Tribolium castaneum: one gene and its partner. The protein of the gene in region 1 interacts with the protein of each later gene in a pairwise test. Links are inferred from orthologs where the notes say so. Each region holds a gene or a part of one and is shown in the gene's direction. Other genes may lie near its edges.

What was found. The genes of interacting proteins can lie anywhere in the genome.
Region 2: the proteins of run (region 1) and protein big brother interact in a two-hybrid assay, tested with the Drosophila melanogaster proteins (2 studies listed by BioGRID). The link is inferred for Tribolium castaneum from reciprocal best matches to the Drosophila melanogaster genes run and Bgb.

What each region holds. Positions count from the first base shown.
Region 1 is NC_087399.1:3,522,783-3,527,237, reverse strand, and holds the start of run (segmentation protein Runt), read left to right. Parts: upstream 1-1,524; 5' UTR 1,525-2,037; coding exon 2,038-2,485; intron 2,486-2,816; coding exon 2,817-2,984; intron 2,985-4,455. UniProt on the Drosophila melanogaster protein: Plays a pivotal role in regulating the expression of other pair-rule genes such as eve, ftz, and h.
Region 2 is NC_087398.1:9,985,100-9,988,754, forward strand, and holds part of protein big brother, read left to right. Parts: intron 1-3,191; coding exon 3,192-3,422; intron 3,423-3,655. UniProt on the Drosophila melanogaster protein: Regulates the DNA-binding properties of Runt.

The sequences.
Region 1 (4,455 bases):
TTCCCGCTTAATTAAGTGTTTAAATTTTTATGCTTCAGTCGAATTAATTACACATCATAAACGTGAAATCCAAGGTAAAAACAAACCATTCTGAAAATAGCTTTTATTGTCTTCTCACTTTCCCCTAATTTATTTTTGCCCATTTCGCACCTCAGTGTTCCCCGTTCCTTAAACAGCTCCCTCGAAGAATCGCAAAAATTCAATATGAAGCGCAATAACACGCGTGTAAAACATTAACCCCCGTCATGTGCAAGCGTTGCTTTAGATGAGGCATTGATTTATGCCCCGCCGGTTCGGATTGCAGCATGTCGTTTATTAGTAAGCGTGTATTAAGGGTGTTTTACTCCGAAATCTTCCCCATAAAAAACACTCACCCCCCGCTTTATTCAAATAAATCCGCTCCCTATCGATTAACCCCCCTCCCATAAACCCTACCAAAAAAACAAATTCGCATCAGTGGAGAAATCGGCACATTTGGCGTCTTATCCTGCGAGCAAACGCCAAACAATACGCTCACAACGTCGTCTGGAATCTAGTCGCTTGCGTCTGAAAACAGCTGAAAGTAGATGAGTGGAGTGGGGATGAGGGGGTGGCTTGGTGTGTGGCATGTCAGGGGAGGGACTAACCACGGCTAGGCCTCAAAAACCACGTCTGGGATTGGCTATATAGCGTCTCACTCCTACCAACGTCACCTAACCGAAACTGTCTCCCTCTCGCACAAACAGAAGCGCATCGCCCGTCTCTCGCACTCTATCCCGGTTACACCTCAACAAAACCCAACTAGCTTTCTTCATCACCTCATTTGCCGCCCAGGCCCGGAATAACACAAAAAATTACAACCAAATTTATAATTTGGAAAAATAAAATAAAATAAAAAATACTAATTTCGGGAGTGAGAGCATCTGATTGGCTAGATTTGCTCACGTGATCAGCCAATCACGCATTTAATTGGGGATTAAATTTACGGCGTTCATATTAGAATATAAAAATTAGTGGAACATTGTAGATATGCGATTTTTAATTTTATATACTCACTATGTACATTTTTCGAAAATGTATATACAGGGTGTTTTACGTAATTTTACGAGGCCTGCGCCTGTAAAATGCAATCAACAATGCATATTCCAACACTAACTTGATTACAAACTTTGACAAATTGAATAGTCTTCTCGAGTTTGTTCACCCCTTTAAAAAATAGCCTCGTTTTTGGTTAGTTAACTATTGAGTTAGACAGATTAGACACACATTTATTCCGTCTCTTGATAGAACACATCAAAATTGTTTGTGAAAAACAGCAATTTATGAGTAATAATGAGATAATGATTAGTTTGTCAACTATTGCAAGGGTTTCCAAAAATTAAATATTTAATTGTGTATTTTTTTAAACCAGTGTTCTGCGATTTTTGTATGTAAACACGCTGTATTTTTTGTTTTAATATATTTTTTATATATTTTCTAGTATTAGGAGATGTTCTATAGTTTATACATAACTTATGTCTTTTCTTTAATAATTTGTTAAACTTGGAGTGTTTGCCGTGGTGTGGACGTTGCGGTGGGCGCGAGCCCGGTCCTGCATTATGCTCACTCAATGTATCAAATTGTACGTCTCACTTCAACAAATGTAAGCGATACTTTGATCTCTGTCAAATGCAAAACTGTAGCACCTCTCACTTTCGTGCACGCAACCCCCATATTTTTTCTCTTTCTTCCAGTCAACAAGACGTCGTCTGTCCTTTGCCTTTGGTGTAAATCGGCGTGAATCCGTCTCTGTCTCCCGTTTTATAAAAGTCGGACCCCAGCAAGGGTCACATCTGTCCCTTTCTATCGCCCATTATAAGGCGACAAATCACATCGCTCTCTTTCATTCACCGTACCTATTTATGCTCCATAAAAACTACCCTCCTTCAGCAGCAGGAGCGGGGGTGCTAATATCGGCCGAACAAACGAAAAAGTTTCAAATTCAGTCCAACACCGGCGACCAAAAGTGCAGCAGCGTTTTTAAAAATAGAGTGTGTGGTTCGTGAGTGTCGTGCACCCATGCATTTGCCCATCAACGCCCAGCAGCCGTCGATCATGGACATGTACGCCAGCCTGCAAGAGACCCTCCAGGAGTACCACGGCGAGCTGGTGCAGACGGGCAGCCCGGCCGTGCTCTGCAGCGTGCTGCCCTCGCACTGGAGGAGCAACAAGAGCCTGCCCATCGCCTTCAAGGTGGTGGCCCTCGACGAGGTCCGCGACGGCACCACGGTCACCCTGAAGGCGGGCAACGACGAGAACTACTGCGCCGAGCTGCGGAACTGCACGGCGGTGATGAAGAACCAAGTGGCCAAGTTCAACGATTTGCGGTTCGTGGGGCGAAGCGGTCGCGGGAAGAGCTTCACCCTCACCATCACCATCAGCTCGGAGCCCTACTACCAGATCGCCACCTACAACAAGGCCATCAAGGTGACCGTGGACGGGCCCCGGGAGCCCCGGACCAAGTCAAGTAAGTACGAAACCGTGACAAACATTCAGTGTTTAATAAACAGCCATAAGCGCGTAAAACCTTCCATCAACATATGGCTCAAGTAAACAAATAAAACGAGTAACGACTTTCTTGGTTTGTCGGCATATTAAGTATAGTCAACAACGTAAAACTTTTTATGTTTATCGCAATCGAATTCAAACATTTAAATCAGTTTTATAGGGCATATGCTACAGATTCGGGTAAATTTAGTAGAGGAATAAAGCCAAGAATAAAACCGTTGTGTAAACACCCCCCGCGTGTTGATTGCAAAAGCGATGTTTACTAACCGAAAATTTACGATTTTTTACAGATTACCAGTATGGGTACGGCTTGCCCGGAATGCCCGCTGGATTCAACCCCTTTTTGTTGAATCCGGGATGGCTGGATGCGGCATACATGAGCTATACGTGGCCGGATTACTTCAGGGCCAGGACGAATGTGCCCACGCAAACCAATCTACATGCCTCACTTATTAAAGGTAAGGAAACAACAATCATGCTCTATTATTTAACGATACTATATTATTTAAAAGTTCTTAAGCTTTTTTCATAAAAAAAATAAAATTTTTAACTGTCAGTTTTGAAATATTTCCGAAAAACTATATTTTGGAAAGTTGTAACAGTCTTCTGAGCGACCATTTTTTTAAGTGGCTTCATTGTTTGTTAAAAAATTGAAAGTCATGAGCTTTACAAATCATAGTTTCCGAATAAAATAGTTATTTTATTTAGCTTTGCAAAAAGAAAATGGTGAGTTTGCTTATTGTCTCAGTTTTTGCATCTGATTTTAGTAATAACAATAACTGTGAGAAAATTCAGTCTTTAGTAATAATTTTCGTAGGAAGTTTTATAAAAAATAGTCATAAGCAAAAATATTTTAAAATAATAAGAGTGGTTCTAATACCTCGTAATATGTTATTTTGTACACAGAACTAATAATGATTTATTCTTATTTGACTTAATACATAAATTAAGCTTAATTATGTTTTATTTTTTAACGTAAACTGAAAATATCGCTCGTTCTATACCAGCAGTTTTTTTTTAATTTTCTATGATGAAAAACAAGCGAGATAACCGCTTAGAAAGAAAGGAATCGTGACGTCACACCCGCCTTTCATCACAGAATCTTCTTATTACTCTATCACTGAACGCTCACTCTCAATCACCAAAAATCTGACAAATATTTGAACATTTTTCAAAGATCTTCCACAGCGACGTTTCGATACCTTTATTGTATCTTCATCAGGCTACAATTTGGGCGTTTAATTATTATATTGTTGGATAACTAAACTAATAACTAAACGCCTAAATTGTAGCCTAATGAAGATACATCAAAGGTATCGAAACGTCGCGACGAAATTAATGGTTTTATTTCTCTTCTCCTGTATACCATCTTCGACGAATCAAACAAATATATTTTCAAGTACAAATACCACAAAATGATGAATCTTCTACAATATTAAAAATTAACTATTTTTTCGACTAATTTCTGTTTAAATTTTGTCTTCTGTTAGTGTCTTTTAAAAGCCTAAATCCATTTGATCTTAATATTGAACCAAATGCTCGATAGGCAGTTATGACGTCACAATTTCAAACTTAAAACGAAATAACTTGAGTTAGAAAACAGGTACAGAGAAATGATTTTCACTTCTGTAATAAGCGTCTTCAGTACTATCATTCAAGATAAATCTTTTTTATTAATTGCCAATGCCTTTAAACTGGAAATATTAATCAGGGATTACCTATAACACTGAAAACCTACTTCTCTTTACTTCCGCAAAATTAAAATGAATGGCTTATTATTAATCGGTGTTTATTTAACAAACAACACATACAGAATTTTTGTACCAATTTCTTTCTAAAGAGAGATGTTTAAGCAAAATTAACTTTCCAACTTCAAAATTAATAAATAATTATGCCAGATAGAAACCACTTTGTTACAGTTAATAAAAT
Region 2 (3,655 bases), on another chromosome or scaffold:
GGAGAATCCGAGAAAAACAAGGCGGGTTGCTGAACTCGCGAAAATTGAAATTTTGAGAGACAAAACGAAAAGTTAAACTGCCACGACGTGAAGTCATCAATTATTACACTCGACGCATAAATGATTTCATAAGTTTATGGACGCTTTTATGACTAAGAACAATCATGTCACTTCAACTCGCAGCATTTCATAAATTTTAACAGTTTACGACGAAAAATTGCCTTGACTTCCTTGCTTGAAGATTTATTTATTTTGTAATTCTAACTCAATGATAATGTGTTTCAGTTCCAGAAATTACTCAAGTCTTAGTTTTTGGAATTGCAGCTAAAAGTTTTTATTTTTAAAAATATCCCAAGTATAAAAAAATTTTTCGTTTTATCAATTTTTTTATCAGAAAACTATCAATCTAAATAGGCCAATAGATCGTTAGTTGAGATCTAATTTGGGTATTTATGACGATACTTTGCAAAAATAAGTTCAAAAACAAGCTAAATTTGCGAAAAAGGCCAAACATTTCGTCCTTTGGCCTGTTTGAAATAATCAGACTTGAGGTTTTGGTGTTAAAATGCTCCGAAAAAGACAAAAATAACGTAACTTTGACTAATTAGTTAAGCTTTCTGCCAAAATCAGAAAAAAATTGTACAGAAATTTTGAAAAAGTTAAAAAATTATTACGTTCTTACTAGATTATTGCCGGTTTACTGTTTTTTTTGCAGTTGAAGGTCCTTTGTTTTCTGCAAAATTCAGAAAAATTGTAGGTACGGATGGTTCGCCAAAAAATAATTCGACAAAAATGAGCTAATGGCAAAATATTTAGAAAAAATCAAAAAAATGTATTAAGCCGTAAGAAGTGATTGTCGGTTTCACAATCGAAGGTTTTTTTGATAAGCTTTGTTTTCTGCAAAAATCATGAGAATTCTATGGATAATTTGCTAAGAAAAATAAAGTCAAGACAAAAATAAAGTAGTATTTTGTGAAGACTAAAAAAATCGAAAATTATTAAAACTCTAAATAGCAATTGCTGGTTCACTATTTTTTACAATCGAAGGCCCGTTAGATAAGCTTTGCTATCTGCAAAAATTGTACAGATGGTTCACCAAAAAAATTATTCGACAAAGAATAGGCCAATGACAAAATATTTATTTTCAGAAAACAAAGAAATTACTAAAACCCTAAGATGTCATTGTCGATTTCACAGTCGACGATCTCTTTGATAAGCTTTGTTTTCTACAAAAATCATGAGACTTATATGGAAAATTCGCTAAGAAAAATAAGAAAAAAATAAAGTAGTATTTGGTGAAAACTAAAAAAAATAGCGAAAATTATTAAAACTTTAAATAACAATTGCCGGTTCACTATTTTTTTGAGATCGAAGGCCGTTTAGATAATCTTTGCTTTCTACAAAAGTCTGAAAAGTCTCACGAATGATTCAACAGAACAAAATAATTCTTCTGAAAACTAACTAATGCGTACTAACGACACAATATTTTGAGAAAACCAAATAAATATTAAAGTCGCAAGAAATAATTGTATATTTCACATTCGATGACCTTTTGTTATTTTCTGCAAAAAAACAGAATTCTTCGGATAATTCCCTAAAAAATAATTGGAACTAGATAGAAACAAAATATTAAAAAAAAAATAAAAAATTATATTAAAACCGTAACAAATTATTGCTGGTTTACTATTTTTTTGCAATCGAAGGCCCGTTGGATAAGCTTTGATATCTGCAAAAATTAGGAAAATTGTTCACCAGGAAAATGATTCACCAAAAAATAATTCGACACAGAATGGGTCAATGACAAAATATTTTGAAAAAACAAAGAAATTATTAAAGCCCTAAGAAGTCATTATCGGTTTCACAGTCGATGATTCTTTTGCTAAGCTTTGTTTTCTGCTAAATCATAAAAATTGTACGAACGATTCGATAAGAAAATAAATCGTCTAAAAATGAGCCAAGGACAAAATATTTTGTGGCAAAGAAAAAAAAAAAGTTCCAAGAAATGTTTGCATAGTTTACAATCGATAGTCCTTTTGATAAGCAAATGCTGTGTTTCCTCAGAAAAATTATTAAGATGATTCGCTAAGACAATTGTCTTTAAAGCGAGTTAGTGACGAAACAGTTTACTGTTTTTTTCTAAATGAAGACCTTTTTGATAAGCTTTGTTTTCTGAAAAATAAAGAAAAACAAATAATTTTCAAAAACATACTTCCTCTAAAAACCAACCAATAATTAACACATTATTTAAAAAAAAAACAAAAATTTATTAAAGCCTTAAGCGGCGATCGTAGGTTACAGGCGAAAGTCCTTTAACTTTTGCTTTCTGCAAAATTCGTAAACATCCTACGGATAATTCGCCAAAAAGTAATTAGTCAACCAATGAGTCTATTTTGCTTACCTATTTTAAAAAGGCAAAAAAAAGAATTCAAATTAATTAATTCCAGGTTTTTTGTAATTTTTTTTCTCGCTCAGAACAAAACTAAATTTTGCGAAACAGTTTTATTTTTGAGCATAAATGAATTTTTTTGCAGGAAAATTCGAACAATCTATAAGTTTCTAACACAAAATAAGATAATTTTTAAGAAATTGGGTTTGTTTATTGATTCATTTTAGATTTTACTTTTCTTATTATTATTTTTTGTTCTCGCTTCGTAAATCGTTGACTTTATTGGTCTCTCTCATGCCACCGTTATGCAAAAGGTCGCCAGACCAGCACCTTTTCGACAATAGAATCCGTTGGGTGCGTCCACCCCTTCGGGGCCGGTTCCTGGCCGCCCCTGAAACACTGGGCGTTTCCGAAATAAATCACGGCCACTTCTGACCAATGGTCTGTCCACGCCATCTGCGTAAATTGCCCTCGGTGAAAATCCACCTAATCTCGAAAAAATCCCTATCACCCCTCTCAAAACGTCATTATTAATTCTGACAACTCGAATAATAACAAACAGTCAAAGGTACAAATGCCTCCCGCGGGGTTATTCGAGCGCACCCTTCCTCGCTCTCAAAGAAAAAAATAAAGTTACAGATGTCGCCGAAAAAACTCATAACGACATAATTTTCGCACGCCTTTCGGACAAAGCGCACCCTTTGCCCCCGCCGAGAGGGCGGGAATCGATTCATTCCATTAGCAACGGGCCGATTCAATTTTTGCAATTTTATAATAAATTAACGGAGCTTTCGCTTGCTTTCAGGTGCACATCAAGTCCTCGTTCATCATGAACGGCGTCTGCGTGAGATGGCGGGGTTGGCTGGACCTGGAGCGCCTCGACGGCGTCGGCTGCCTGGAGTACTGCGAGGAGCGGGCCGCTCAGGAGGACGCCCTCCTGCGGGAGCAGATCGAGAGGTACAACCAGAGGCTGCGGGAGTTCGAGGACAAGCAGAGGGGGTACAGGCAGCAGGACCGGCCTGAGCAAGACCTAGAGGTACGTGTCGGGGGCGCCCTCCACCAGAGGAACTACATGAAGCTGTATTAGGTTTAGTGATACTTGGCATGATTAATTTTTCGTTTAATCTGTCTTTTTTACCTTTATTTTTGTAAATATTTATCGTTGAATGTTGACGTAATTTTAGTTACCCGATTCTTATGAATGCAATATGTAAATAAACGGATTTTTCATCCATTTTGTTTCATTTTTGTTTGCTCGTTTTTATTTGA